Linked DNA regions of Lepisosteus oculatus. The protein of the gene in region 1 purifies or fractionates together with the protein of each later gene. This does not show direct contact. Links are inferred from orthologs where the notes say so. Each region holds a gene or a part of one and is shown on either strand. Other genes may lie near its edges. The genes, in order: zmynd8, znf687b, mta3 and mta2.

Region 1 (7,643 bases):
GAGCAGGGCTGTTCTCACACAGATAGAGTAAGCACCTTTTAACTCTGGAACAAGCAAATAGCCTGTTTCCTATAGGTAATTCTCAGTAATGTAGCCATGTGGCTGTAAGCACAGGACAGAACAGGCAGATGCAAAAATTACATACATTCTGGGCATTTTGCTAACACCCTAGACACTGACAACTTTCAAACTACATCAAAATAATAAAATACACAAATCTTAAATATGACATATCTTTCACAATCATTGTTTTCTTCTACTGGAATTAAATGTACAACACATCATTTTGCAGGGCACCAATGTTTGTATGTTCCTACTTTTCTGATGGGGATAATGACTACTACTACTACTACCACCACCACCTCTGGATGTTGCTGCTGATGTCACAAAGTGATGTTTCCAATATTTAGATATTTAGCAACTTTACACCTTATTCTTCCAAATCAGTTAACTACACCATGTTTACTAACAATCTCCCTAATTAAAATAAATAATCATTTGCCTATCAACTTTAGGTTTAAAAAAAAGCTTGGGCTTGTTTATACATAGGTTTTGGCTTCCTGTTTCAGCTGTTATAGTTTATAATTTCAGAAAAGTCTCTACTTTTTAGATCGGTTGTTTTTAAGAACACAAGCTAACAGGTTCCTTCTGCATTGAATAATGCTGGTTTCATTCTTATATCATTGCCAGTCCTGGTCAGTAACTTACATCGAGAATGTACTCCTGGATCAAGGCATGAAGAATGATTGCAATCAGGACATAGAAGAAAACTGTAGCCATATCTTTTGGTCCATACTTATAGAAATTGACAGGCTCAGGTCTGTCATCTGTATTGAAAAGAGGAAAAAAAGATAACTATAAATGTTAACCCCACACTGTTAAAAATCTAGTAGTTTTCCAATTTTAAAATTGCTCAATATTCCAAAAGAATTTATGCATTTTGAAAATTTTTTCAAGCAAACAGCAGTTGAGCCATGCTCTTTTCTTTTTCCAGTTAAGCAGCATTATACCTTTAACTACAGATTAATATCGGTGAATGCTTCCTAAGAACAAGGTCAAAGGAAAACATTCCAGCAACAGCATTTAGAACCAGGGATGAGAATTTCTGCACCATTACTGATGCAACCATCAGTCCTGTCCCCGGGGTGAGTCCAATTTTGTTATACTAAATGTTAACTGTAAACCTCTTTAGCATGAGTTTGATTAAACCTACCCCTTTCTGGAGATACACAGTACTCATCGTATTTAAACTTTTGAAAAAAGATGGGAAAAAAAAATTAGGCAGACAAAACAAAAGGCATCAGAAAGGCTTTTACTTGCGTTTTCATCGATTTTAGATGATTCTGGATTGACCTTAACAGTCTGCACGCAACAGACACTAACACACACATAGCACATCTGAAGAGCTGCTCTTTAGCCCAAAACCTATGTCAACTGCATGGTTACTCTGATGAAGATGATCTCATTTCTTACCCCCCTCAGTTTTTCCTAACGCATTTCTTTTGACTTCTGCACATCTTAACCCAAGTTGTCTCAGTGGGTAAACTTTTCATTGTAGTGTGCTACCAGACAATGCAACACCAAGCAAATGAAACTGGGACACTGGCTTCACTCAAGCCTTTTCTGAATGTAAAAAGCCTCTGCCATGCTCGACTTTTGTGATTATTCCCAGCAGCTGTAAGGACTCTGTATCAAACTTTATTGTAGCAATGCTTTAGTTTTATTAAAGTCCTTTGAGTTGAGTCCCCAGAAAAGTGCTATATAAGTGTAAAGAATTAATTATTTAACGAACAAAAAACAAGGAAATGTTACAGTGAAGTAAAAGGCTCTGAGGCAAAACACAAATAGCATATTTCTGAGATAATATTTAACCAACTTTACACACTGTAAAAGTGTACCCCATGTGTTTTTTATTAAAGTTTAAGACTTACCAAGCGTGTATGTCACATTGTATTGGACAGTAATAAACATGATGGCATATTTTGCTGTTACCTGCAGAAAAAAAAAGAACAATGAAGAAACAGTCATTAAAATGCTCTCTCTCTCCAATAGAAAAAATACACTCCAAACTAAACATTAAACTTGTATGAAGGGCAACAAGCATGAACTGAACATGTAAAATCGTAACATGAAGGTCCAATGATGTACTGCTAAAGTGCACGTAGTCAAGATTTGCTTTAATGCAATTTTCCAGGGCAGGAAAACCTAATCTCTGCCTGAGCTCTAAATGTGAATATTAAGAAAAACAATTGTGTCCATTTTTATTTGCTCTGATATTTTCCAATGCTTGGTGCTCTGTTTTTTTTTCTTCCCCAGGGAATGGCACACATAATCATTTTGTCTCAAACTTCAAAACTCCTTTGGATGTCAGTTCATCAATATTTTTATTTATATCCTAAATGGCGGGCCCTGACACTTATGTCTTGTCCTAATGTGGTATTTCTGCTTCTTTGCAAATCAGGTTACTGATGTGAAAACTCTGCATCAATGTGCAATGACATTATAAGATGATGCATTTCGTTTTAACCCCCTTTTCAGGCCCAGAAAAGGGCCTGTGTGACAGTGTGAGTCACACTGTCTTGTGTTTTTCTGGTGCCCTGTACAAACCCGGCTACAGATTTGAAATATTTTCAGAGCTGGCATGTGAGATAGCAATGGCTTTCAATTCTCACAGTTTCACCTAGTGTTGCCCCATTTTCAATGACTATTCCTGAACTTCCAGACAAAGCCTCTCTTTGTGGAAGAGTTTTATACGATGCACTACATAAAAAATGCATTGTAGCAGAAACCGCAGATAATATCATAATCCAGTAAATACAAATACAAATAAATTGTACTGTATCAAAAACATGTACACATGAAGTTAATGCATGATAATGCAAGACTGCTGAACCCTTTGGACAACTCGTGCAACGTCAGTTTTATGCTGTAAAACTAAAATTAGTAACTTTATGAATTAACAGAAGACATTTTAAATTTTAAATTTTAAACCGTCCAGGTGCCATTAGTTCATTCGCTCCAAAAACAAAAGCTGTGCCTCGCACCCTTCAATGTAAATAATGACTGCCGAGACGCGAAAACAAACATTTTGTCAAGTTCGTCGTCGTTCGCATTCGAAATATTACCATCAGTAACAGGTAACAGGCAGAAAAAAAATAAACGTTTAAAACATTGCTTTTTGCGGTTATATTTAGTACAACCCTAAAGCACCTGCAGTATGGCAAGGTACATAGCTGCATTTGGCACATCCGATCATTAATAACACTTTAACCATCGACCAGGCGTCACTGCCCTTCGAGTTAGCCAGCTACAGTACCTCTTAAAAACATATCTTCGGTGTAAAATGATATTTTGATGTGGGTGCCTAGCTGTGACATCAGCCCAGTAAGCTGAGGCGTTATATAAACCAATAAAGACATTTCTGGCGGCTCTGAACTATGTCCGGGAGCTCTTGTGTTCGGCACTCTGAACTATTTGCCCTGTTGAGAGGAGCTTTTCCTGTAATGTGACCAGGTTTATATGGCCGCGTTCAGTCTTAATGATCAGGGGGGGATAGTTTGTGCCCAGCCCCCTTGTGGCTGTCAACCGGGTGTCCTGCGTGCCGATCTGCTTTTTGTTGTTTCCTTACTGTACCTCAAACATGAGTCCCAGCAGAATGATCATGGCCACGCACGACACCATATCCGCGTGGTTCTGGATCACGAACTCGTGGCTCAGTACCGGCGGGCTCTTGTTCTTCTTACGGAAACCCATGGCTCTGGCTGACTCGGCAAGCACTTCTTCCCGCGTGTGTTTCCCAAAAACAAGACCCCCCTTTCCTCTTGCCCCGCCACTTCACTGTTGAGAAGGTGCAGTATTTTAGCATGAATTCGAGAGGATCGACAGAAGGCAAAATGTGCTCACAAACACACACACACACACCACGCACGCAACCACCGGACTCAGCCCGACGTACCCTCCCAGATTCTACTCCAGACTCCTCCAAGCACCGCCCACTGACGCACAGGTCCCGCCCCCCGCGGCAGGGACACACGTCTGATGGACGGGCAGATGGACCAATCGGAAAAAGGAAGCCGGGATGAGCGGCTGAGGCGTCCGCCAATCGTCACCCACGCTCGGTGAACCTGCCGGGCAGGGCAGAAAACCGTCAAGGCCTCCATCTCCGCTACGTCAAAGCTCTCTGACTTGAGTCGTCGTCGTCGTGTTGTCACAGCGTGCTGAAGCGCTTTATTTCCCCTTCACAACAAGATCGACTGCTGTCTTCTCCAATAAGAACGCGTTCATGAGCATTAAACCTTGCAGTTTTAGGGTACAGAAAAAGAAGGGTTTTTTTTTAGAATGAGAGTGGCCGATGGGGGTTCTGAATGCTTAGGAGGCACATAATCCATACACACACGTTTTTTTAAAGCATTGTACAAGCAAGACTGGGATAACACCGATTTCTTCACCAAAGGTTAGTAAAGCCGTTTCATGAAAAGAAACAAAGGGCTGCACTGATAGTCTAGAATACTTTACATTTCTGGAGAGATTTTGTATCGGGACCAAAGAAAACATTACACGGGGCGCAATGCAACTAAGGTTTGGTTACTCACTTCAGAGGAGCATTAAAAATCCTGTGCGATTACCGTTTCCTTAAATCTAGTTACACTTACAACTACCGAAGGGTTTTGGTATGTACAGAACCTTCCTGTTAAAGCGTTTGCAAGCTGCATCAAGTGAAGGTGTGAAGAGTCTCGTTGGAATGAAACTAGAATTCCATTTTGTGATTAAATTATTTAGATATAAAGGTCTGGCTGAGTGGTAACTTAAATAAATGAGCCTGTTCACTTGGACACTTATACACTTAATGTATAAGTACTATCAACTGTATGCAATTGTTTACATGCATAGCCATAATATGCAATGATAAGCAATTATATTGACATATTTTAGTTAATTACTGCCATGTTGCCTAGTGCGATTCCTGAGTGCCGCTGAATTCAACAGCCAGTGGCTGCAGAAGCCAGTGCATAGAAATGTAAATACAGACATGCTTTATATTTAAAAGACAGAAAAATTAATTCAGGGAAGTTGCAAAATCTTCAGAAGCAAAATCAAGTCATCAGTGCCTGTGTGTTTTAAACATCATGGCAGTGAGGGCTGGGCCTAAGAGGATGTCACCTTAAAGAGATAAGAGCTCCCTTAAAAATATCCATTGTGAGGACAGCATCTTACTATAAATCATCTTCCAGCTTGTCTGAAAAAAAAAGCTTCAGCACTCCCGAGGCTGATGAAGACTTACAATTCTCAAAGAGATGTGGTGTGTTCACTTTGAAGGCCTCAACACAAGTACTGTATTGTGCTCACCAAAAAAATGAGAGATTTTTGACAGCCATTTGTCTCCACTTTGTTTCAGTGCCAGGACTGGAGGAGACATTTTTAAACGCTGTGTATCCAGGTGTGGTTAATCAACAGCTGGGCAGCCTATGCACATAGAACACATTTATAAGCTTCAGTCTGTAAAAGTAATTTTGTGCAGTGATGGAGTGGTGATGAAGTATTCAGAATAGTAACTGAGCTATGTGGTGGAAAAGGTGTAAATGTAAATGACCACTCTAAGGTTCTGGTTGTTTATCATCTGACCCTTTAATTCTATGTATATGGAAGTCTAATGTGCCAAGGCATGAAAGAACACAACGTGATTAGTGTAGGATGTGAGAGTGCAGCCTATTTATCTATACTAGAATTTGCCTCAAGGTGTCACTATTACATTTAGGATCACAGAAAAAGGGCACAAAGCTATACAGTAAATAGTATTTCCTGCGAAAATAATGTTTCTTCTACAAGTGAATTGTAAAATTATAATGCAGGTGTATAGCAGTATTAGAAGGTGTTCAACACGTGCAGGTGTCAGAACATATAATTGCAGGCTGTTCAGTAATTAGTAAGAAGTCCATTTTCGACACTCCATTATAGGAAGGAGTGAGTGAGGCCAATACTTTAAGCTTTTAGACACCTGAATCTCACAAAAATTGTAAGTAGTAGCCAATGTATATCTCTATATGTTGGGTGCTTTTAAATCTGTTATGAATTTTTTTTTATATGATTGTTTTATCTTTGTGATTGGTAGAATTCCTTGTTCTTGCCACATAAATTAACTTTTATTATGCAAAACTATAGCAGTGCGGCCTGATATGTAAGAAATATTATGCCATTCTGAAATAAAATACAATTTGTTATAGATGCACAGTTTGAATTCACAATGAAAATATATGGCATGTTTGTGTTTAAATTATGTATAAAAAGCTTATTATATATTATTTATATGAAATATTATTTTATATTTACTTTTAAAAACATTTGTTTCACAAATGCAACAATACCCCAATAACCAATTAATAGAAATTTGTGAATCACATGTAAAAAAAACAAATTGCTGTTGCTGTTAATCAGAGTTTGTGACCCGACTAGAGGACATTGGCTACTTTTTGTAGCACAGTGCATATATTTCATGGGGAAAATAGGAAAAAAACAGTACACACAGTTCCACTTTGATTGAGGTAATGTCAGCCTTTTCTCCTGACATAAAACAACCATGACAGTACTATATTTAAATAATAATTTTCTGTTGGAAAACCAGAAATTACGAAAACAAAACAATATTTTTCATATAGAAAACAGTTCATTTTGGTAGATGTTTAGTGCTTGTATACAAATCTATTTTTATTTCTGGATTAAATCTAATACAGTATTTGATTAGTAATGCACAATCAAACTGTCTTTTTCTAAGAGATTGTAAGTAGACCAAGATCTAGAGAAAACAGTAATTTTGTGGAATCTAATGGGAATTAACTGAATTTGCAATACTAACATTTTGTGAGATGTTGTGTAATATTAGAAATATGCCTTTAAAATATAATATTTACATTCACTGTATATTGTCTGCATGTTTTTATATCTAATATTTCTGCATATATATAGGAAAGATATATATATATACACAAATAATTGTGTAGTTGGCCAGTTGACTATTTTGTTCTTAAGAATCTTATAAATGTAATATTTCTAGAAGCCTGGTAGATTTACAGATGGGCCTAAGACAGACCTTCTACAGACTGCTGTCACCATTTATTCTTACTCTTCATTCGTATACTTTTGCATTTGGGAACTTAAATTTTCTGTGGATTGTTAAAATAAAAGGGAGGGATTTCTTAGACAAAGGCCTTTCTCTCTGCAACAGGGAGGACGAGTCAGACTGCTCCTAGTTTTCATGTTTTGGGGAAATATTTTGGAAAATACAGTTAAATACAACCCAGCCAATGTAGGATGCAGTGATTGGTAACGATTTTAGAACATTGTATGTGTTCATTTGTTTGTAGGAATGTTTTAAAGTGTGTATTTTGTGATTTGGGCCTAGATCTGGCTCTTCTTTTTGTCCACAGAGCTGCTCCTGCCTGCTTGAGCTGAACAAAGATAATTACTCAGGAAATGTTTCAGCCAATCCGCTGCCGCTTTACATCCCGGTAGTGAAAAGAGGCCATTCAGGGTCTAGCTTCTATCTGGCAGTCTGATCATCAAGCTGAAGTGCCAAGCCCTTTCTGTCTAAGAACTGAGACTGTCCTCCATGTTTTATAAGTATTGACATAACACTGTGTTAGCCATGC
Region 2 (7,802 bases), on another chromosome or scaffold:
CGGGCTCGGCCTCCATGTCCCCGAAGGCCTCGGGCCGCACGCGGTTCTTCACGATCACGCTGACCACGGAGGGGTCGGGCTGGGGCGCCGGCAGCTGGACATTCTGGGGGTGTGGCTGCTGCTGCTGCTGATGGTGGTGCTGATGGTGGTGATGTTCTGGGGGGCTTGCGGGCCGGAGAGGGGATACCCCTCCTCCACCGACCACTGCTACGCCTGTAGCCCCCCCCCCTCCTCCTCCTCCTCCACCCCCCTGCTTGACAATGCTCCCATGGTTGCCGTGGTGACCCTCGGACTCATCCGGCGCGGACTGGATGGCTTCTTTGGCGTCGATGTCGGGGATGTCAAAAGCCGCCAAGAGGTCGTCAAAATCTGGGGTCTTCATGTCCCCCATTCCGGGATAGCGGACAGAAACTGCAGAGAGGAGAGGAGACAAGGACCTGTCACAGATATGTCCTCTCACACGTGCCTGCGTGTCCTCTGCAAATGTCATCGCAAGGGAGTCCAGATCACCGGCACCAGGCTCTCAAGAGGGAGCTGCAGGTGAATCAGACCGCCGTGCGCTGGGAGTGCGATGGCTAACGCGCACACCTGGGGCTGGACCGGTCAGCTGTGCGCAGGACACCTGGCCGGCCATGGCACAAAATCAGTTTCAAATTTCCCCTTTTCGACTTCATGCTGCTCTTCTCTCCCCAGACTACACAGATTCTTGAACGACCTTCAGAAAGAGCTACTTACGCCACCGGCCCTTTTAAAACCAGCAGCCCGGAAGATGTGAGTGAGGCCGAATCCACCCTGTGTCTTCTGACGCATCACACAGGGTAGAATCGGCTCCACACCCCCCCCGTCCCGACAGCACCTGCCTGCCGCTGCCACATACCGAGAGACATCGCCGCCCTCCTGATCACGGCAAAGACCAGCTCCCTGTATACCGCTCATTTCGGAGCTGGCACCTCCCAGCACACTTGACACTGGACTGTGAACAGGCGCCGTCCTTCGGATGAGACGTAAAACCGAGCTCCTCACTCTCTGTGGTCATTAAAAATCCCAGGGCGTTTCTCGAAAAGAGTAGGGGTGTAACCCCGGCGTCCTGGCCAAATTCCCCATTGGCCCTGACCAATCATGGCCTCCAAATAATCCCCATCTATGAATTGGCTTCATTACTCTCCTTTCCTCCCTACTGAGAGCTGGTGTGTGGGGAGTGTTCTGGCTGCCATCGCATCATCCAGGTGGGGCTGCACATTGGTGGTGGTGGAGGGGAGTCCCCATTACCTGTAAAGTGCTTTGAGTGGAGTGTCCAGAAAAGCGCTATATAAGTGTAAGCAATTATTATTATTATTATTATTATTATTATTGTTATTACTTGCAGAGGGAGAGATTCTTTCACAGCCCAGCAGAAACGCTACGGCCATCCACTTCCAAACCACTGCAGCCAGCTCGGGGCCACAGGGGAGCTGGGGCCTCTCCTGGGTACAAGGCAGGGTACCACCCTGGACGGGACGCCGGTCCATCACAGGGCAGACACCCTCGCACTAGGACCGCTTTTACCCAGAAGCCAATGAACCCGCCAGCGTGTCTTTGGACTGTGAGAGGAAACCGGAGCGCCCAGGGGGAAACCCACAGGAACACAGGGAGAACACGCAGACTCCACACAGACAGCAGCCCCGATCCGAATCTGAACCGAGGTCCCCTGCGCTGTGGGGCAGCGATGTTAATCACTGCGCCACCGTGCTGCACGGTATCACCACGCATTGCAAAGAAATAAAACTCCGATCCTGATCCCGGAGGGTCTGAGGATATTCAATCCAACTGTAAGGACTTATCCAGCCCCCTGCTTGGTTTAAATTTCACAATTAGGCCCAGCTTTCCGTATGCTGGAACTCTAAATCCTGCAGGTTCTCTTAGCTGCCCCTGGCAAGGAATAGCAGGAACATCCTGACAAAAGGATCTGAAAGTACAATGTCCATTTCACTACCCATTTTAACTGCCCTGTAATTAATTTAGAATAAACTACAAGAAAACAGTCAATTATTTTACTTCAGATCTTTTATCTGTAAATCGTTTAGTCGTTAAATAAAAAGGAATAAAATAACATTTTCACATATGCGCTCTGCTAGCGGCTTATGCATGGATCGTGAGTTAGACTCCGCGATGAGTCGGGAGCGCAGAATTGGACCGGGACTAGTCCACTGGACAACAGTCATAAAGCTCCCCACCAAAGCGAAGGAATTATTTTTCATCCTGTTGAGAAATCAGCACAGTCGAGGGTACAATATGCCTGTACTGGCATATATACATATATATATCCACTCTTGTGAAAAAGACGTGGAAAGGTTTCACGTCTTTTACGAAAAAAAACGTGGAAAATTCAGTCCCGCGGGCTGTGCAGGGAACGGACGGGGGCACATTATTTCGGAACATGAGATCGATCACATTATTCGGCTGAACCCCGCAAACTCTAAAACTCGACGTCATGATCCACCACCTCCGAAGGATCAATAATATCCATCACAGACAGCCGCGCCGAGCCGCTCTCGGAAAAGGTGTTTCGAGGGCAAGCGTGAACCGCTGAGCGCACGTACTTTCCGGATGGGGCGAGTACGGGTTCCTGCGAACACAATCTTAGGGCTTGCACTTGTAAACGCACCCGGATGAAACCGTTTAATTCCGCCGGTTTCGTGCGATATTTCGGGGAGGGAGGGAGTGGAATTCATGCCGTGGCCAAAGTTTTTTTTCTCCTCCTCCTCCGCCGCCGCAGCCATCAGGGACGGATCTGAGAGGGAGTATCTGGAGGAAGAATGCGGGCGTTTTAACAGACGAAAATGAGGTTTCGACTGCACTTCGGTGGGGGAGAGGCAGTCAGTGCGGGGTTAGGAACTGCTATCTACACTTTGGGGTGCGGAAGAGCGCTGCCCGCCCGGGGTTTCGGGGTGAAATATTGTGTTTGTTTACCTGCCTGCGAAATTCCTGTGTCTCCAACCTCCCGTCGCTGCGCCTGAGTTTCCCGTCACCTGATGGGGACAGGTCCTGTCAGATTCACGCTGCCTCTTCTCCGGCACTGGAGAATCCGTATTTCGAGGCTTTGTTTACTTTTAATAAAATAAACTAAAAATGTATTAACCTCTTTCTGTCACATCACACCGCCTGTTTGTGTTTTATTACTGCCCGTGGTTTTTTTTATGTGTACATCAAGCCGACGTTAATTTTTTGCTCTTCCGAGACTCCACTCTGACGCGGACTAAAGCCCGAAGGAGAGCCCGCCCCTGGGTCGATAGAAAATGGGCGTTGATTGGCGGAATAGAAGATCCCTCATAGTATCCCCGCCTTTACTGTTAGTATGCTAACTGCGATTGGTCAACGTGTGTGTCTGTTAAAAGTGTAAGGTCAGGGTAGCTAATACGACATCAGAGGTTACCAAGAGTTTAAAAGTTAAAGGGCGAGGAAATTACGCCATTTTGGTCCTACTGGCGACCCGTGCAGTAACGTGTATCCAGAGCCAAAATGGCGGAAAGACGGCTTTTATTTCTAAAGAAATTACCTTCTGTATTTGCGAGATTGAGGTATAATTGCACTGAAGTCGCTAAGGAAAAAATACATGCTCTGTAACCATACATATACGAGTCGTTTTCTTATATTTTAATTTTAGTATTGCCCGCTTTAAAATGCGTGCCCTATCCCAGCTCGTCCGTCGGCTGACAGCGACGGTCGCTCCGCTGGGGTTGTACGAGTACCACGACTCCGTTTTCAAAAGCCCTTCAAAAACACTTTTCCTTGCGTTTCCTTAGGACCATAAGAAAACTTTAAAAGGAGAGGAAGCCAACCGACCGATTCAGCTCGTTTGAGTTAGTAGCCGTAACCATTCTGAGGATCTTAATCGAACCGTGTTGAAAGAAACAGGGCACTGGCTTCAACGGTATGGCTGTATAGCTTGTTTCACACTCCCACGACACTTTGCGTAAAGATGCAGTTCCAAGAGATTTCCGCTGGGTGTCTCAGCAGGCTTTGCAGTTATACATTTAGTATTTACCATTACTGAAGAACAGAATCAATTTTGCTGCGATCAGTTAAACAGGTAGTGTTGAAGTATTTTAAAGATCATCTGTGATGTAAATGTGGGGACCATATTCGAGAGCTCTCTTGAAGATGTTTACCTTCCATCACTGCTGAACAATTAGCAGGTGTTGCCCCCGATTCGCGACAGGTGACCGAGATCGCTGGTTCCCAAACCCATGAAAATCCCGCGGTTTTCATTCCAGTTGAGCTCTGCCTCTCCGATGCAGATTCCTCACTTAATTATCAGCTCGCTTTGGACTGTAGTTGACATGTTTCTTCAGGCAGCCCGAAAAAACAAATCCCACTTCAAGGGCACATTTCCCACTTTCAGCAAAGTCTCAACCCGCTGGCGGCCTTTTTCTAACTGGAACAGCTCTTCCTGATCGATCAATGAACATTCAGGCCCTCTAGACTGCATCCAGAGCCCAGACTTGAACAAGAGAATGGCGGATCAATTATACCCAACATCATCATCAATACACCATAGGACACAATACATTCCAATACTTTTTTTCCCAATTTTTTTATTGTTGAAAGGCTGCACAATACAGTACTGCATCTGCATTGGGGAGGAGGGGGTAAAAAGAGAGGAATAAAAGAGAGAAAAATTAGGGGGAAGAAAAGAGAGGAGGAGAAAGTGTGAACTGAAGACAGAGAAAGGAATGAAAGGGTTATGGGGGGGAGGGCAGAGACCCCAACGTCCCTCTGGGTTAACCATTAACTTTCCGATACAAAAATGACCAGGCTCTTGAGTATGCAGGTGTCTACATCTGCGTGTGTACCAGCCCCCAGCGCCCGCCAGACCTCTCTCACTCGGACTGTGGCCCCACCCATGGCCCTAGCCGTTTCACTGACATTGGGCAACACTCAGGAAGAGCAAGCAAGATACTGGGTGTGTTCCAGCCCTGCACTGGGCAGAGGGGCGGGCGCTGGGCAGCCCTGTTCTAGTGTAAGTGTGTGTGTGTGTATCCCACTGTGTGTGTGTGCGTGTGTCTCGGTTCCCTTTCCCAGAAGTGTGTGCGTGCGTGCGTGCATGAGTCTGTCTTCCCCTGCGAGTCCATGCAATCGTCCCGTTATTTCTTCTTGTCTTCCTCCTTGTCCTTCTTGCTCCCCTCGGTTTTGGGGGTGCCCTGCGGGGCCAGGGAGCCCATGGCGTTGCGGATGGCCTCGTTGTTGGGGTCCACCCCGGGCAGGTTCTCCAGCACGCTCTGCAGGAACTCGGGGTCCTGCATGACGTCATAGTCGTCTTCCTCCTGGAGACGGGAGGGGGAGGCGGTGAGATAAGAGGAGGGAAGAGGGAAAGGTTTCTCCCAAAATTGGCAACTGCTTCCCTGCCCCCCACCCCCATAGCGTCTCCCCCTAGAGCCTGCTGAGCTCTGTGACCCCCCAGCTGTTGCTGGTTCGAGCCCTGGATCTTGTCACTGGACGACTGTGATGCGATTCCCCAGGAGCGCCCCCACGTCCAGCAGGCCTCTCCCAGCTCGGAGCGCCACCCCCTAGGCTCCGGGGGCATCAGCCAGGTCTCGGAGGTTGTCAAGAGGTCACGGGGGGAGATCGTATCCAAGGGCAACCGGAGAGCTGGCGGTTTTAGATCGAGGGAGGGTTTCCAACACTGCCTGCCTGCTCACTCTAGTAAAGGTTCACCAACGAGCACATTTCTGCACAGGAGGGAGGGGAGAATGAACGAGCAGGCTCGTCCGTGGGGGACAGGAGGTATGGGGGGAGATGGAGCACGCGGAGAAGGAGAAAGAAAATCTACGTACCTTCGTGGACTCTGTAGTCTCCATGGCGGCTCCGGTGTCCATGTCTATGGGCTCGGCCTGGCCGAACTCTGCCAGCACAAGGAGAGAGAGAGAGAGACTCACTGAGGCGGACTGGCGGCAGAGAGGGGAGCTCGGGCAGGCCAGCGAGGGCGTGTGTGCGCGTAAGCAGTGTTAGGAGGAAGCGAGCACCCCTGTACCTGGCCCTTGCAGTGACATCTGCATGGCGTAGGCGATCTGCTCATCTTCCGTCATGCTGCTGAAATCGGGGAGCCCGGGGGTCCCCGACTCGGGCTGAGACACCGACATCTTCAAGAGAGCCTCCTCTGACTCTGAGGGAGGGGGAGAATAGAGAGGAGGTAAGACCAGATCCTTCATCGAAAATACAGCTCACATATCTCAACCTCTACCCTGCAGCGCCACCCTGCTCCTTCCCAGTCCTCCTACGCATCCCTCGCCTCCTCTCCTCCCTCCCCAGTTCCCATCCTCTCACCGTCTCCGGAGGGAGTGGGGATTCCCGCTTCGGCCGCGGAAGCAGCAGCTGCCCTGCGAGCCTCTTCCTCCTGCCTCTGCCTCTGCTCTTCCATCGACACGCGCAGAGCCTGGAGGAGAGACAGCGAGAGGAGAGGTCACTCCACTGAGCCTGTGGACAGGGGATGAGCGGCCTCACAGGCATCACACACGGCCGCCAAACCCCAGCGATCTCTGGACTGTAGGGTTACAGTGTGACCCAGACTGGACCAGTGATCTCTGGACTGTAGGGTTACAGTCTGACCCGGCCCAGACTGGACCAGTGATCTCTGGGCTGTAGGGTTACAGTGTGACCCAGACTGGACCAGCGATCTCTGGACTGTAGGGTTACAGTCTGACCCAGACTGGACCAGTGATCTCTGGACTGTAGGGTTACAGTCTGACCCAGACTGGACCAGTGATCTCTGGACTGTAGGGTTACAGTGTGACCCGGCCCAGACTGGACCAGTGATCTCTGGACTGTAGGGTTACAGCGTGACCCGGCCCAGACTGGACCAGTGATCTCTGGACTGTAGGGCTACAGCGTGACCCGGCCCAGACTGGACCAGCGATCTCTGGACTGTAGGGCTACAGCGTGACCCGGCACAGACTGGACCAGTGATCTCTGGACTGTAGGGTTACAGTGTGACCAGACTGGACCAGTGATCTCTGGACTGTAGGGTTACAGTGTGACCAGACTGGACCAGTGATCTCTGGACTGTAGGGTTACAGTGTGACCAGACTGGACCAGTGATCTCTGGACTGTAGGGTTACAGTGTGACCCAGACTGGACCAGTGATCTCTGGACTGTAGGGTTACAGTGTGACCCAGACTGGACCAGTGATCTCTGGGTTGTAGGGTTACAGTGTGACCCGGCCCAGACTGGACCAGTGATCTCTGGACTGTAGGGGTACAGTGTGACCAGACTGGACCAGTGATCTCTGGCCTGTAGGGTTACAGTGTGACCCAGACTGGACCAGTGATCTCTGGACTGTAGGGTGACAGTGTGACCCAGTCCAGACTGGAACAGCGATCTCTGGACTGTAGAGTGACAGTGTGACCCAGACTGGACCACTGATCTCTGGACTGTAGGGTGACAGTGTGACCCGGCCCAGACTGGACCAGTGATCTCTGGACTGTAGGGTGACAGTGTGACCCGGCCCAGACTGGACCAGTGATCTCTGGACTGTAGGGTGACAGTGTGACCCGGTCCAGACTGGAACAGCGATCTCTGGACTGTAGGGTGACAGTGTGACCCAGACTGGACCAGCGATCTCTGGACTGTAGGGTTACAGTGTGACCAAGACTGGACCAGCGATCTCTGGACTGTAGGGTGACAGTGTGACCCGGCACGCCTCTTCTCTTGTCTCACCAGGGCGAGCTCAGGGTCGGCGCTGGGGTCCACCCCGAACTCGAAGTCGCTGGCGCCCAGGCCCAGCATGGAGCCGCCCTCCCCGGCCAGGATGGGCGAGCTGAGCAGGG
Region 3 (8,589 bases), on another chromosome or scaffold:
CAGAAAGCAGCGCAGACAGTTAATAAAAATGTATTTATTTCGAAGAGTACAGAACATTGTGAATGAATAAAGACATTTACAAAATAAGCCGATGTAGTTATTTTACAAATAAGTAAAGCATTTTAAAAATAGATTCTCCTTGACAGCAAACAAGCCGATCCACCTGGCGCTGCTCAAGCACAGCTCCCAGACCCGTGATTGGCTAAACCCCGAACAGCTCGGGCCGCGATTGGGTGAAGAGTGAGAATCGACACTCTGATTGGGTAAAGCGCTACAGCGGAAGTTCCGAGAACATGTAGATACACAGGTGATGGATGTTCTTCTTGGTCCAAATACTGTAGCCCCGGTTAACCGTGTGTGCTGTGTGAGCACGCTGGATATACAGTAACACATCCATTGGTTTCCAATTACTGATCAATCTAAGAGAAGTCGCACTGAGGTCAAAACTGAATAGTAGACAAAGAATGTCATGGCACCCACAGCGCGTTCACGACTCCGACAGCATGTCACGATAGGAGTGCGCGCATCACAATCACATCGCGATACCCATTGCGTCTGGCAGGTCACTATCGCGACATGAAGTCTATATATCGCGATATGACATTGGCTCGTCAAAACGCCCCCGCGCTCATGTCGCGACATGAAGCCCGCATATCGCGATATGACAAACGCCCCCGCGCTCATGTCGCGACATGAAGCCCGCATATCGCGATATGGCATACCCCGCCTAAACGCCCTATCCCCCATGTCGCGACATGGAGTTCATGTATCGCGATATGACCAAAACTGTCACGCCCATATCGCGATACATGAGCTCCATGTCGCGACATGGGGGGTGGGCGTTTTGTCGGGACATTTCATATCGCGATATAGAGCCTTTCATGTCGCGACATGGGTCGGGGCATTTTTGCCGGGGTATGTCATATCGCGATATGCGTTATGTTATGTCCTATCTGGGTATATCATGTCCTGATTTGATACCTTTATTGCGACAGTCGTGCCAGGGTGGCATGGAAGCAAGGCGCCAGTCGTGACATACACTGCCGCGATATACATGCAATATGCATGGGGTCCCTATCTAGGTCTTGTTGCGATGGTGTCCCACAGTTATGCGTTTGGCAAAAGCGTGTCAAGGTAGGGGAAGAAAAGGAAAACGTGCCTTAGAAAATAAAAACCATAGATCTTACAATCACGGTGATTTTACAGACATTACAACCACAGGTTTATGTCATTGGTTAACTTGTTGCCATTATTTTAAGGAGACTATATGTTTATGGATATTGATTGTCTTTAAAATGTTAAGGGTACGAGCTAAACTGTAACAGCGCGCTTGAACTCGGCAGACGGGGTCACTGGAGGTCAAAGTCACCGTGCATGGTCACGTGATCAGCGGAAAAACAAGGTGCTTTATCTCGGGAACGAAAGCAGCACAAACGCTACTTTCAACGGTACCAACAGGCACAAACGTAGCACTAACGAATGAGGTGGGTTTCATCGTTTGTGCTGTCTGTAGTGGGACCAACGTCACGGAGCTTTTACCTTGCCTTTAAATATTCAGCGGACTTGAGCATAACATACCAGAAGAAGCTCGAGGTAAACCCTGCATGGTATTTTAAATACAATATTTCGGACGGATTTTGAATCTTGCGTTTTGCGTTGTGTTCATTGTGTGGTGCAACAAAATATTAACTTCAGAGTAACTCGTAAAACTATTGAACAATCTATAAGCGGGCATAAGAAATACTTAGAACTGTTATAAGCAACAAGTGAAAATGGGCTTGTTTGATCCTTCATGATGCTTTTAAACGTGTATGAAACCCATTAAATTAGTATTCTATTTTCGATGCCAAAAGACACCTAATTTGGAAATCCGTGACTTCCTAAAAGACTTGACACTGAATTGTTATAGTCGCATTACAGTGCTAACCAATTAGTCGTACCTTTAATTGCAAGAATGGTCTGCTAATAAAAGCGCACATACATACTTTGGATGTATTTTAGCTCTGTAAACACTAAGGGTATGCGCCCAGGCCCACCCGTGGCTACGCCCCTGCCTCACAGTAGTACTCAGTGGACATGACTGAACTCAGTAATGAATCCAATTCATAGATAGGGATTATTAGGAGGCCATTGTAGGTAAAGACCAGGGGGAAGTTTGGCACACCCCCTCTTTTCAAGAAACGTCCTGGACTTTTAAATGACCACAGAGAGTCAGGACCTCGGTTTTACATCTCATCTGAAGAACGGTGCCTTTTTTCCCCACAGTACAGTGTCCTCTTCACTATACTGGGGCATTAGGACCCAGGCCACAGGGTGAGCCCCCTGTACTGGCCCCACTAACACCTCTTCCAGCAGTAACCTTATCTTTCCCAGGAGGTCTCCCATCCAGGTATTGGCCAGGTTCACAACTGCTGAGCTTAAGTGAGTGGTCAGTTGTGGGTTGCAGGGTTATATAGCTATTTAACTTTTTGTGATTAGAGATGTATTATTTACTATTACTTATTATTATCTGGTGATTAGATTCAGTGTACAGTAGTATCACTAGGCTTACCAAGACAAGTGGATGAATTGGTGTGTACAGTATCACAGTGTGTGGTGGTTAGTGCTGCTGCTATACAGATCTTAAGTCCTGGGCTCAATTCCTGTGTGGCCATCCTTCTGTGTGGAGTTTGCATGTTCATCCTGTGTTTCTAGGGGTTTTCTTTAGTTTTTTGTTTTCAGATAGATTGTGGTTTTTGTTGTCTCTATGTGTGGGTTCTGTGATATATGATACATGCTGCAATAAATGTGTAACTACTCCAAACAGACTTATTTAATTCTTTGACACTTACACGTGGACCATATTCATTTTAAAGTAGATCTGGTCACTGTTTTCTATATTTCTACATTTTGTTCATGAAGGATGTATATTTTAATTTTGACTTTTCTAAGTTTTCTTTAAACAATAAATATTAGAAAGTGGCAAATGCAGTGCATTTTACTTTGTATATGTAAAATACAGAGCAGCTTTCAAGGTGATCAAAATAAACACTAGCATATTATTGCAAATTGCTGTGCTTATGAAATGGTAAATCACTGAACAATTAATTTTTCAAAAGTCCTCTCAATAAAAGATGAAAGCACTGAAGATAGCACGTTGAATGTTCTGCACTCAAACAGCACATGTTCTATTATTCAGAGGCCATGGGATTCAGTAATGTATTGAAATATTATTTGTTTGTTCACTTTGGCCGTTGTGAATAAAGTACTATACTGGCAAATTACAGAACCCTTGGTGCTACAACAGATTCTTTCAGTGGATTTTTCTTCCTATGAAAGCAAGAGGCCACTGATTTGATGGGTGTATTTCCACATGCTGGAGGTTCCAGATATGTAAGTCTAGGGATGGAGCTCCAACAGTGCAGGAATGGGTGCATACCTTTTAATGCCATTTAGGTATGACATCATGGGCCGATGGACAGGACCGTTCAAAACTAAACAGCTCAGAACACAGAATAAAAAGTAATCAGACCATAAAACATACAGTCTCCTGATATGTTAGAGAGCCTCGTGGATTTTAACATTCTTTCAAAGCCAAATGGTGAAGAACTCACACCTAGCAATCTCTTTAACATATTTAGATCGAATTTTATTAAAAAGAAAAAAAAACATAAGAAATAAGGTGCATTTGTAATATAAAACCTTAAGACTGTAAAGCCTTAAGCAAACCAATTGAATTTGTCAAGTATACTCTATTCTCTGTTTTGTTAGTCACCTGTCACCATTAAGTTGTCTACATGTACTGTCTTCACCATACCAGCTCCAGCTGAAGTCTTATTCACAGTGTTCATATGAAATCTTGTTGTAGTGTACTGTTCACTGATAGCTTGCATACACACCCAAATCACTGGATCAACACAATATCGTCTCGGCCAAAAGATTTAGCTGGCAGCTGCAACCTCCTAAATTAAAACATGATCTTAGATTTGTTAGACATAGAAGAAATTAAGTTTCCCTTGTAATTCTGTAAAGCAATGTTGTTTTCTAACTGAGAAACAGACAGGCAATAGCATAGGCAATGTCGCAGAACGTGCTGCCAATAGGACCCAAGCCATCCCCTTTCCAGCAAATCTGTTTGAGTGGTAATGGATCTGTGCATCTGATTGGGTTCTGCCAGCCTTTTAACAACAGGGCCACTCCAAGCTGTGATTAGAAGTGTTCCACCCTCATCTCTGCATATACAGTAGACGTTAATAGAAATATACAGCCATTGATTGTTATGACATCGAGAGGAACTAAAACTGCTGCCTAGCACCTCTTTGAATGCAGGAGAATCCCTTGGCAACATGTCTCCCACTGAGTCCATTGACATATCTCTGCTGCACTCCAGTCTAATTAAAGACATTGATTACGGATAGAACAATTACAGCCTGCTGATGTGATCTGAACAGGTTAATTAATGAACGGCCTTATTAGGGCTGTCATCGTGAAGCTTAGGCTGAATCCAGCTGTTTATCTTATTGCCTCCTCATTATTTCTGTGGTATTTTATTAGGCATGGGATTTTCAGTTTCCTTTCTCTGTTAATCTGAATTCAATAATTTTCACAAAAATCCAGGATTCTAGACACACCTTTATTAGGGTCATTAAATACACTCACATGGCAATGATACAGTTTAAAGAGTGCTACATAATCGTATGCACATGGGTGCGCAAAATGTCCTAACACCCCAACCGGGTTACAGGATAACTTTTGAGGTATGTCATGTTCTGCACAGACAGACAGCCGTGTATATGCAAACTGAGGGAACAGAATATTTTTAGTCTATAAACAGAGTTTAATGCAAGGGTACTTGGTTCAAGGATTCAAATTCCTGAAAGGGATTGACTAAGGCAACCCAACAGTCTTCTCCAGCAGTGTATAACAGAATGGCAAAAAGAGCAAGAGTATTTTAGATTTATTTACACAAAGGGCGGCAGGAGAGTGTAACAGGTGATCCAGCCATGTTGTTGATGCATAACCCCAGGTATGGTTCAGGAAACCGCAGGGTGAGATGGCACAAATTTAGCAGCAGAATACCCACAATGGACGGAAAGGCCTAATCTGGTTTGTAACCTACGTGTTTTTAATGCTTAAAAACTTTATTCCATAAAACATGGCACAGACACACAAGACAAAGCCCAAACAACGAGTGTATGTATGAATGGTGTGTGTGTGTTTTTAAACCCCTTCTACTCAGTTGCCTTCGGGTATTTCCGTGGAAGTAAGTACCCACAGTACGTGAAATAACCTCCGTCGTGAGGCACTTCATCAAGACTCCTGCCCAGCGCTGAACAACTGCGGCTTGTGAGTGGACGCAGCACCGGAGCTCCACTATGGCACCGCCTTCCGTCTGTGCCCTCCCCGCCAATCCCCCACATCCCTCCACCCCCACCAGGAAACAGGGCTCCGAGCTGATCTGAAGCCTTTCGGCGTGTTTGTTGCTGTATTGTACTGTATGCAGGGAGAGGGGGGGTTGTTTTAAATCTCTCTCCCGCTCAAGTCTCGTTCCACCCCCCCACCCCCCACCACGCCATTTCATTGCGGTATATTTATATATAGGTACTCTTTTATTTATTTTTATTTTATTTTGTAGTTTATGATTTTCCCTTTTTATTTTTTTCACGCTCCAGGAGGGCAGAAATGGCGGCCAACATGTACCGGGTCGGAGGTATGTCAGTCTAGATTTTTGATTTACAAAAGTGTTGGTATTTCTTTCAGCGTGACGGGGTGTGCATTAATAGATATTCGCAGAAGTACGGTTTTAATGTGCCTGTCAAAAAGCTGCGGGAAGCAGGTCTTTTGCGAGCCCGGTGCAGCAGGAATTTTCAATTATTTGGGATTAAAATCTGGGTCGGGCCTTAAAACTAACCATTAGAAACTGAAAGCAGCACTCCCAAAACAAACACCATCTGATACTTTTTCAATTTTTGATACATTTCCTACACGTGTAAACGTCTATTGTGATATAAGGTCTTGAGTGTTCAAAGAGTGAAGTTGAAAGTAAGTTTTACAGTTATATTCTGGATGTGCGTCCATTGTTTCTCGGGTGTTTCTTTGTATTTATGCCCTTGTCTTTGCAATGATCTCCATTGGTCCCTGTCCGTAAATCAGTCATTCACGGTTTATTATGCACGGTCACATCCAAAGACTTGCAATTCGGCAGTCGTATGGTCCCAGAGTGTGTTTTTCTGTCATTAATCTGGAAAAAGGTGGTTGTTCTTTTTAGTGTCTCCTATGTTATAATAATGTCTATCGGTTTTTGAAACTCCGGTTGCTAGGATAAAAAAAAACATTTTTCATAATGGCTGGAATTTTCTGCCCCCCCCCCCCACCACGCATTATTTTTTTCAAGGTAAATAAAATATATCGAAATTACTGAACGAAGCTAGTGCGATCAGACTGGTCTTGTGTGAAATTTTGTGCTTCAAAGTATGGGAATGTTCCAGTCACGTGACACCTAAAAATATTGGCATCTTTTACGACAATCTTTTCTTTGTCATCAGGTAACTGGAGAAGTTCGTCCTTAATACAATAAAAACTTTGCTTTCTGTTTTGAAATCGTCCCGGCTTCTTTTTATTATTATTTTTGAATGATCAGAATAAGAGTACTTTGTATTGAATTAAATTAGGCCTTACATAGGTAGGTGTCTGGCCTGGGTGTCTTAAAACGTGACGTAGCTGCCAGTAGTGTATATGCACTTTTATGTCAACACCTAATAAACAACCACATTACATATGTGCGTATTACTTATATATGGATATAGACCTGTATTCTGTTATTTAAAATTCACTTGAGCAAGTCATTCTGATGTTTTTTTGCCCTTCAATCCAGTTTGTTTTTATTGCATATAAAATATTTTAGAGATTTGTATCTGGTTTATACATTGTAAAGGTTTAATATAACCCATGGATTATTTTTTTTTAATTATTTAAGTTGTTGTGTGGAGATCTTTCAATTCTACTTCTTCCTAATTCTGCTGTCTTGGATCACTAGGGACGCTTTCCCATGAGCTCTGATGTTCTAAAAACACTGAGTCCAGAAGCTGATTTCAGGGTTAGGAAGTAGGAGCTCAGGAAAAACCTGCAAATACTTGCACCTGTCCATGGCAACTGGTCCTACTGCTCCTTAATTTCCTCTGAGACCAACTAACACTCTTAAACCTCTTAAGTATCTTAATGTTGCCTTTTCTGACATTGCCAGCAAACACTCCTTTCTAGACATTAAGGCTTTTATTTGTACATACGTGTTATATACATGCAGGTATATATATATAAATAAAAATACATGCACATAGCAAACTCAGCATTTAAGTCGATTTAACTCTTGTGTTGGGTGTTTATCATGTTATTCTTTAGCATGATCACCTAAAACAGCATAACTGTGGATATGTACCTAATTCAGTGGGATTCTGCATTTTGAGCGGCATTACTGGAGCTTTTTTGTGTATGAGAAAAATGCACCAGGGTTAATGTTGTTTAAAGTTATGCGATATGCCACTTTCTGTGTTACAAACACCTTTGCAACAGTAATGATATGCTTTTCACTGAGCATCGTCATAGGCATTATTTGTATAAGAATTATAATTTATTTCTATTTTCAGTTTTAAAAAAAAGATTTATCACATATGCTTCTGTGTTTGCTCTGCATTGATCTTCAGGCATCAAAGTGCAGGAGTCTCAAACTCTGTTCCTTGGGGGGGCTTTTGTCTTCTGGTTTTATTTAAGTACTCAATTAAAAAGTTAACCTCATTTTGCAAATTAGACATCCATTGCATTACTGTAAATCTGTAATTATTGTAAATCTAGGTTAAAGAAAAATAATTTGTTTACAAGTTAAATATTGACAATAAAAACATTTCTTTTGAAAAGCTCTAACCCTGTTTGTTTTGTTGCAGATTATGTGTTCTTTGAGAACTCTTCAAGCAACCCATATCTAATCAGAAGAATAGAAGAGTTGAACAAGGTATTTTGCAGTGTTTTTCTGGGCTGGAACCAAGAGCAGGGTGGGAGTGGATGTTTGTAAAACCCTTGAGGGGATGACCTTTAAGGAGCAAAAAGCTTACATTTCTTAAGGGAACTGGGTAAAATTGACAGACCAGTATTTGCTCATGGTCACTGATCTTATTTTTACCTACTTGTATACCGAGGTGGGCGGACTTTAATCGTTGTTAAGGATTTTGTGAAGGTTGATCTTTGCATGTAATTCATTTTGCCTTTGTGCTGAGGGATTATTCGATCTGACCATTTAAGTTGACTCCTGGGGAAAGTGTTGGCAATAAGGAAATCATGGAAAGTAATCTCTCTGTTGACTCTCAGTCCTGTGTGACTGACAGATGTCAGCAATATGTTGTTATTGCTTGTGTTTCTATAGGACTTTCCATGTCAAAAGATCCCAAAGTGCATTACATACAGAAGTGGACTCACTTTATCCCCCACTTAAGTGTAGCACCATCAGTAGTGCCTTTCAAAAGTACTTACTTCCCTTCACTGATGTCCTACTTTGTCTCTTTCTGTGTGCAATAATAATGGTTCACATGATTTCAGTATAAATACACCTGTCTCTGTTGG
Region 4 (7,665 bases), on another chromosome or scaffold:
GCTGCTGCAGTTTTTTTCCCCATTCCAGGTCAATGCTTAATGACTGCAATTAGCTCATTACTGGCTTCTTGGACCAGTTTGCTGCTGCTTTGAAGAGACCTGGAAACTCTGCAAATATAGTACTGCCTACTGGACCAGGACTGGACAGCCCTGCTGCAGACACACTGACCCCTCCTGGACCAGGACTGGACAGCCCTACTGCAGACACACTGACCCCTCCTGGACCAGGACTGGACACCCCTGCTGCAGTCACACTGACCCCTACTGGACCAGGACTGGACAGCCCTGCTGCAGGCACACTGACCCCTTCAGGACCGGGACTGGACAGCCCTGCTGCAGACACACTGACCCCTCCTGGACCAGGACTGGACAGCCCTGCTGCAGACACACTGACCCCTCCTGGACCAGGACTGGACACCCCTGCCATTATCTAACCCCAAAAACTGGTCTTTACCGCTCAGTGTGGGCAACCACCCCCCTTCACAACGCACACTAGAACGAGAGGGTATAAGGACCTCCAGATCTAGGAGAGGAAAAAGCTCCTGAAAACCACCAAGACGGGCTGATGACCACACAGGCCAGCGGCACAGCGAGCCTGTTCCAGCAGCGGGGGCTGGACCCAGAAGCCGGACCCTGCAGACCCTCAGGGCGCGGAGAGATGGGGGCGCAGCGCTGAGGTCGCTGGAGCAGAGATACGGGGCCACCAGGGCCGCAGGGGAGGGCTGTCCTGAGTCACTGGGGCTCTGGTGTGGCCCGGGGCCAGGAGCAGAGGGTGAGAGTGTGCGCACGAGAGCAAGGGGGCGTGCAAGTAGGTGTGCACAAGAGCACGCACCACCAGGGCAGGGAGCAGAGGGTGAAAGAGTGTGCAAAAGGGCAAGGAGGCTTGAGCGAGTGTGCACAAGGGCAAGGAGCAGAGGGTGAAAGAGTGTGCACGAGGACAAGGAGGCTTGCACGAGAGCGCACACCAGGGCAAGGAGCAGAGGGTGAGAGGGTGTGCACGAGGACAAGGTGGCTCGAGCGAGTGTGCACAGGGGGCTCGCACGAGAGCGCGCACGAGGGCAAGGAGGGTGCAAGGAGGTGTGCACAAGAGCTCGCACCAGGGCACACGAAGGGAAGGAGGCATGAGAGAGCCTGCAGGGGCATTAGTAGGGTGGGCAGCAGGGAGACAGGCCGAGACCTTTCTGAAGCCCACCGCCACCGCCGCAGGGGGGGGGGGGGGGGCCTGAACCCCAGGCGTCTCGCTCACTCCTGAAAAACTTCCACCTTAAAATCGACTGGGTCGCTTCGAGACCCCCCCACCCCGGCAGGCCAGGAGACAGGAGACAAGGCAGGCTCACGTGTGTCTCTACACCGTGATACTTTGCCCCCGGGGGTGGGACGAAAAGGTCGGGGGGGGGGCAGACAGTTGTTGGCACGTCCAGCAGCGAGCCCCCCGCGCTGTGGCGGGGTGGATGTCTGTCCCACGGGCGCCCTGGCTGTGTGTTATTGGCGTCACAGTCCACGCACGGGGAAAGAGGGGGCGGGAGGGCAGCTCCTCAACAGCAGGGCTTCAAGATATAAAGAATAAAGCCCCCCCACCCCCTCCCCTCAAGGCCTCGTGCCTGCACAGCGGCCCCCCGAAACCCCCTCCTCGCTACCGGCCGCGCGACGGCTTCCGACACGGTGGTTCCGCCTTCGCGATAAAATCCGCCCCCCCCTCCTCCTCCTCCTCCTCCCGTGCGACAGCCACAGACACGCAGGCCGCGCGGACTCCGCCGGGGCTCCCGTTCAGCTGGTTTCCACGCCAGCTGCGTGGCGTGTGCGCGCCACGCGTGCTCCTTTTGTGTTTGTTTGGTTCTGCGCGACCATACCGGTTACCCTCCACTCGAACCGTGTGTGTGTGTGTGAGAGTGTGTGTGTGTGACCTACATGTCGCCTTTTCAGACGCGACCAGAGCAGATCGCCTCTCCGCACCGCCGAGCCCTCGGTAACGTCCACACACACGCTCGCTCGCTCACGAACCCCGTGGCGTGGGCAACCTGCGTCCTGCGTGGAGTTCCGCGAACAAGTCCCCGAAATAGTTTGTATTTATTTATTTTTTTTAAACTGAACAAATTCAAGTCGTCGTCGTCCTCCCTCCCACCTCGCACGGTTCAATCACCCCCCCCCCAAAAAAAAGACACCGGCGGTTCCGGGACCTTAAACCGGTTGTGTTAGATTTTTTTTTACTTCCCAAAATTCAGCCTCTCCGGACAGGAAGATACGAACCGTCTCGGCGTCGGCCGGGTGTTTTTTTTTTTCCCCTTTCTCTTCGCACAAGAAGAAAGGAAACAGTTTGCGGTTTTAATTTAAAACGACCCCGCCACCCCCCTCACTCACACAAACACAAACTGAATAAAAATCCTTCGCCAAACTTCCTCCGGAGATCACCGGGGGGATAGAGAGAGGGGTGCTCGGGGCCTAGGGCTTCGACGGCAGAACAGAGACCCGGTTCGATGTCACCGGAGCACCGGGATGGATCGGTGCCTCTTCTCCCCGAACCGAGGATGACGATGATGATGATGATTCAATTCTCGCTGGCTGGAGCGACACGCACGGAAATAAAAAAATATGCAACCCCCCCACCACCTCCTTCACCATCACCTCCTCTCTGCATCCTAACCCCCCCACCTCGGGACAGGAGCGACCCGAACTCGGAACCCGACTGGCGAACTCACCCCCGACTCTGTACATGTTGGCCGCCATTCTCCGGTCGCCGTCTTGAACAGACACCCGGCCGAGGGAAACCCGTCGGCTGCGGCCGAAACAATTCTCCCTTCTTCTTCTTCTTCTTCTTCTTGAAATAGGAATTTAAAAAATAAAACCACACACACAAAACGAAAGAAGGGAGGCAAAATCCGTCTCCCGGCGCCGATCCGATCCGATCCGATCCCGGTTCCCCCTCGGAGGCGGGCCGCCCTTCGCCTAGAAACAAAAGGCGAGGGATCACCCGCGCCGCCACTCGCGAAGTTACAACTTTCCGTTACAGTGTTGTCCAGGTTTAGCCCCCTTCTTTTTTCTCTCTCTCTCTTTCTTTTTGGGTGGAAGAAAACCCGTGTCGCCGCCCGCCGCCCCACGGCTGTTCCTGTCCGGCAGGGGAGAGTCCACCAGCGCCCTCTCCTCCGCAGTCACTCGCTCACAGTCCCGACACACAGCCACCCCGTCTCTCTCTCTTCCTCCCACCCTCCGCTCCCAGCCTCATCCTCCTCTTCCTCACCTCTCTTCTCACACACACACGCCACATCCCCTCCTCCCTCTCTCTCTCTCCCTCCTCGCCGGCTCACGTCATCTTCAGGGGTGGACCATCTCGCCGCCCGGGCCGGACTCGCCTCGGCCGCGCTCGGGTATCTCCGGCGGGTTTCGTCTCGGCTGGGGATCCCGTCTCGTCTCGCCGAACTACCCGCACCAGGGCGACACCGAGCGACAGGCCAAAGCAATGGACAATGAAACGCACCCCCCCGGGTGTTAACACATACCCCTCCCCCCCCTTTGAATAATCGCAGAAGTTGCTCGCACTGTATTTGTGCATCGATACGTCTGATCTACGCAGCCCCCCCTCGAGGGACGGGAGGGGGCACAGCACGCCCTGGATTCGAACCCGCAACGTCCAGGAACCCTTCCCGAAGATGCCGTGCGAGAAATGCTCCCGTCGCTCTGTAATTATCCTACCGGGGACACCAACGCTTATTGAACTTTTCTGTGTGTGTGAGGAGGAGGAGGGGGGGAGTTTTTTGCGACACGTGTTTACCGCTTTTGACAGCCACAGCCCGGGGTCATGCGAGGCGAGGGCGTCGTGTGTTTTAAGGCTGGCTGCGGTGGTTTGCATCGCCCCCCCTGCAGCAGTCCAAGCCCGGGGGGAGGGGGTCATTAAGAGACAAGGTCGCCGTGCACGCAGCCGGGCGCTGGGACGTCCCGAGGCCGGTCTCTCGGCTCCGCTGCGCCCCACAGCCGGCGGTGGGCACGGACGCGGAAGTCCCGCCCCGCTCGGCGGCTCCAATTCGACCCGTCGTGCGGGACCGGATCTGGCCCCGCCGCCGCCGCGCTCGGCACCGCAAAGGCCGCACGGGCGGAAAAAGTTCCGTTTCAGCGCGTTTTCAACCCACCAGTTGTTATCGGGGGGGGGGCGGTGAGGCGTTCGACACTGAAAGGCTAACCAGGAAGACGCCAGAGGAAACTGAGTGGAAGAGTGGTTCAGACTGAGAGCGGGCGGGAAGGGAGGGAGGGAGAGAGAGAGACACACACACACACTTTACACATAGGGTGGTGGGAGTGTGGAACAAGCTGCCCGGCCGCGGTGCTGAAGCCGATACCCTGGCTTCTTTCAAGGCACAGCTGGCTGAGATCCTACAAGCAGGACAGGAGGCACCGCTCTACGCCAAGGGTGGCGGGAGCGTGGAGCTATTTTCCCCAGCCACGTTGTTGAGGCTGATAACCTCGACGTCACTCAAGACGCAGCTGGGTGAGACGCTCCAGTCTGGGCGCAGGAGGCCCGCCTTTACACAGAGGGTGGTGGGGGTGGGGGACAAGCTGCCCAGCCGTGGTGTTGAAGGCGATACCCTGGCTGCTATGTATCGTATCCATCTTCTCTCTCAGCATGCTGTAACAGTGCTGCGCCGACATCTTGCTTGGTCTTCGTCTTTGTCATGTTGGGGTGCTGTGTAAAACAAACTTCCCCAGTGGGCAATAAAGCTTGAATCGAAACTTTCGAGAAATGGATTGACCCTGGGATCGATTAACTTCTAAGTAAGTGGGTAGGGCTGCACACTGGTGGTGGTGGAGGGGATCCCCAAAACCTGTAAAGTGCTTTGAGTGGAGTGTCCAGAAAAGCGCTATATAAGTGTAAGCAATTATTATTATTATTATTAAGTTATGACCTTCTGGTTGGGAGACCTCTCTGAAGTTATTCATCCTTTGGAACAGCTGTTTTAGACGCAGGGGGGTCTCAAGACTGGTCTCCCCGAGACCCCCTGTCTTTTCCGACTCCTGCTCCAGTCTGGGCCGTGATGTGCCAGTGTTGTCTTCCAGCTCGGAAAAGACGAAAGGGAACTGCAAACGGGTATCAGCTCGTTGTGGGGTTGTCTCGCAGAGTTTCACTCCCGGTTGTGTTTGTGCGCCACCCGTGGGCAGTGTTAGTACGTGCCGTGTCTTAAAACCAATAACTAAAACTAAAATAAGGCCGCAAACTCTTAGCTCGTTGGAATCGGAGCCATGCAGCTGAATTGCAGGTCGTTGCTGCCCTCTGCTGGCAACACGTGGTACTGCGCAGGAGGGAACACAATTGACCGAAAGCCTTCAATTAAACCTACAGTCTCAGAAAAAATATTCTATTTTCTTTTTTAACTATAAACAGCCACAGTGCCGGAGGAGCCGGAACGTCGCTTGAGTGAAGCCGGCGACGAGCTGTTTCAAGCCTTCGATACACGAGCTAGACGGACACACCGGACCTCCAGTGGGGTCAGAATTCAGCCCCCCCCCTCCCCGATTGAGACACCCAGCTGCAGGGCAGGGGACCCCCATCACGGCCCTCAAGGGCCACAGTCCACAGTCAGGGTAAGTGGGTCTCTTCGAATCTCCCGTTTCTCAGAGACTAGGAAAAAGACCCCACCTGTCTGATTCAGCCCGTAACGAGTTCAATGAAGTCATGGAGGGGTAGGAGGACAGCCCACACCCTCCTGTCTCCCCATGAGCGACGCTGTGCCCCCCTACTCTAGGATGGGGGGGGGTTCTAGGTCTCTTTCTGTGTTCAGCACCTACAGCAGCAGGGATCCTATTTAAATCTGTACTGTACATGTTGTATGCATGTCCCACCTGTGTTCTGTGCTGTACCGAAAGCAAATTCAACCAGCTACAGTTGTGTGGCAAGAAAGAATAATCTAATCTAATCTAGGAGCCCCCTGCTGGTGGTCCCAGTCCAGTCTCACAGCCGGGAGACCCCCCACCAGACCAGCCCGCTGTCGCACCCCAATGACCTCCACCCTGCTTGGTTCCGAGATTTCTTTGTTTATTCCAGGAGGGGGGGGGGAGGAGAAGCCAAGAATCACATTTTCTGGAGTGTAGGTTTTGCAACAAAAACAAAACAAAAAAATCAAAAATCAAAACAGACATAAGACATAAGCATCTCTATAAAACAATCTCTGTACAGAATGAGAAAAACGACGTTTGGTCCGAAATCGTGGGCCTGGGTTTGGTGGTCCCTCTGCAGCCCGAGGCGCAAACCCGAGGAGGAGGAGGAGGAAGAGAGAGGCTGCTGAAAGGAGAGGAAGGTCCCGGTCCGCTGGCTTGTTCTGTTTGGAGCTGCCCTGACTCACAGGATCTCTCATGGGTTTTTCTGGCCTAGAGAATCTGGGTGCAAGGCGGAGTACACTCTGGACGGGACGCCAGTCCATCACAGGACACACACACACTGACACACCAGGGCCAGTCCATCACAGGACACACACACACACTCACTCACCCTGGACGGGACGCCAGTCCATCACAGGACACACACACACTCACTCACCCTGGACGGGACACCAGTCCATCACAGGACACACATACTGACACACACACTCACTCACCCTGGACGGGACGCCAGTCCATCACAGGACACCCACACACTGACACACACACTCACACACCAGGGCCAGTTCTCCCACCAGCCCGCGCCTCAGCCGTCAGCGGTCTCTCTCGGGGCCCCTCTGCTCTAGGGACCGGGCTCCTGGGAGCTGACGGAGTTGGAGGACACCGAGGAGCTGCGGTCCAGCGGGGCGCCCCCGCCCCCGCCCCCCGTCACCCTCCACTGCAGGATGCAGGTGTCCTTCCCACCCATGGAGATGAGGTGGCTGTCGTTGTGGGTGAAGCGCACGTTGGTCACATGGCTGCCGTGGCCCTCATACCGGTGGCTGGGGGCCTGTGGGGGGGGGGGGGACAGAAAAGGGGTTAGGGGAGACGCCCCCCCAGCAGGGTCTGCAGCTTTCCGAGCGGATCTCGGTGGGACTTGGGGGGGGGGGTTTGGGGACGAGGCTGGCCGAGCGACACAGGGCTTGGCATCGTAGGGACCGCCCCCCGCCCCCCGCCCCCGCTGGGCGCCGGAAAACGAGGCCCCTGATGCGTCGGGGGGGACGGAGCCGCTCGGAGCGGGATTCCCACAGGCCCAGTGCCGGCAGTCCCCCCCGAGGGGCCGGCTCGCTCGCTTGCGCTCTCGGCCAGCAGGGGGCGCTGTGGAGGGTGGGGTCAGGTGACCTCCGCCAGCCCTCCAGGGTCAGGGGTCGCAGGTCAGGACCCAGGGTCAGGTTACACAGCTACAGCCCGAAAAACTGAGGTTAAGCAATCAGAGGTTGCAGTCTGAGGGGGTATACCCTCATGTGGCTTTGTGATCTCTAAGGACTTCGCTTGTCCTTCGACAAAATCACGTTTCTGGTGAGGGAGGGACATCTGTTGACCCCGGTGGGTGCTGTACTGAAGACAATGTCAGGGTGTTACAGGCCGCCTGTGGGGGTGGGTCCGCACACTGACCTTGGGCTTGGGACAGGGGTACTGGAACAGATGGACCTTGCAGAAGTCATCGGCCACTGCCACTGCCCTCTCGCTGTGAGAGCGGCACAGCGCGTTAATGTCCGTGCCATCTGAGCCCTCCAGCCACACTCCTGAGACAGGAGGGAGAGG

The links.
Region 2: the proteins of zmynd8 (region 1) and znf687b purify together in Homo sapiens (affinity purification with mass spectrometry; 4 studies listed by BioGRID and IntAct, with this or other methods). This does not show direct contact. The link is inferred for Lepisosteus oculatus from reciprocal best matches to the Homo sapiens genes ZMYND8 and ZNF687.
Region 3: the proteins of zmynd8 (region 1) and mta3 purify together in Homo sapiens (affinity purification with mass spectrometry, with the first as the bait; 3 studies listed by BioGRID). This does not show direct contact. The link is inferred for Lepisosteus oculatus from reciprocal best matches to the Homo sapiens genes ZMYND8 and MTA3.
Region 4: the proteins of zmynd8 (region 1) and mta2 purify together in Homo sapiens (affinity purification with mass spectrometry; 3 studies listed by BioGRID and IntAct, with this or other methods). This does not show direct contact. The link is inferred for Lepisosteus oculatus from reciprocal best matches to the Homo sapiens genes ZMYND8 and MTA2.

Annotation. Positions count from the first base shown.
Region 1 is NC_090711.1:7,658,617-7,666,259, forward strand, and holds the start of zmynd8 (MYND-type zinc finger-containing chromatin reader ZMYND8), read left to right. Parts: upstream 1-4,158; 5' UTR 4,159-4,453; intron 4,454-7,421; 5' UTR 7,422-7,639; coding exon 7,640-7,643. Other genes in the region: translocating chain-associated membrane protein 1-like 1, read right to left, coding at 709-827, 1,932-1,992, 3,634-3,753. UniProt on the Homo sapiens protein: Chromatin reader that recognizes dual histone modifications such as histone H3.1 dimethylated at 'Lys-36' and histone H4 acetylated at 'Lys-16' (H3.1K36me2-H4K16ac) and histone H3 methylated at 'Lys-4' and histone H4 acetylated at 'Lys-14' (H3K4me1-H3K14ac).
Region 2 is NC_090722.1:6,132,810-6,140,611, reverse strand, and holds the start of znf687b (zinc finger protein 687b), read right to left. Parts: upstream 3,185-7,802; 5' UTR 2,950-3,184; intron 412-2,949; 5' UTR 392-411; coding exon 1-391. Other genes in the region: psmd4a (26S proteasome non-ATPase regulatory subunit 4a), read right to left, coding at 5,124-5,303, 5,814-5,881, 6,011-6,142, 6,304-6,412, 7,693-7,802. UniProt on the Homo sapiens protein: May be involved in transcriptional regulation.
Region 3 is NC_090712.1:14,766,252-14,774,840, reverse strand, and holds the start of mta3 (metastasis-associated protein MTA3), read left to right. Parts: upstream 1-5,415; 5' UTR 5,416-5,661; coding exon 5,662-5,689; intron 5,690-7,916; coding exon 7,917-7,984; intron 7,985-8,589. UniProt on the Homo sapiens protein: Acts as a component of the histone deacetylase NuRD complex which participates in the remodeling of chromatin.
Region 4 is NC_090713.1:21,715,524-21,723,188, reverse strand, and holds the start of mta2 (metastasis-associated protein MTA2), read right to left. Parts: upstream 3,216-7,665; 5' UTR 2,725-3,215; coding exon 2,697-2,724; intron 1-2,696. Other genes in the region: eml3 (echinoderm microtubule-associated protein-like 3), read right to left, coding at 6,704-6,910, 7,516-7,646. UniProt on the Homo sapiens protein: May function as a transcriptional coregulator. Acts as a component of the histone deacetylase NuRD complex which participates in the remodeling of chromatin.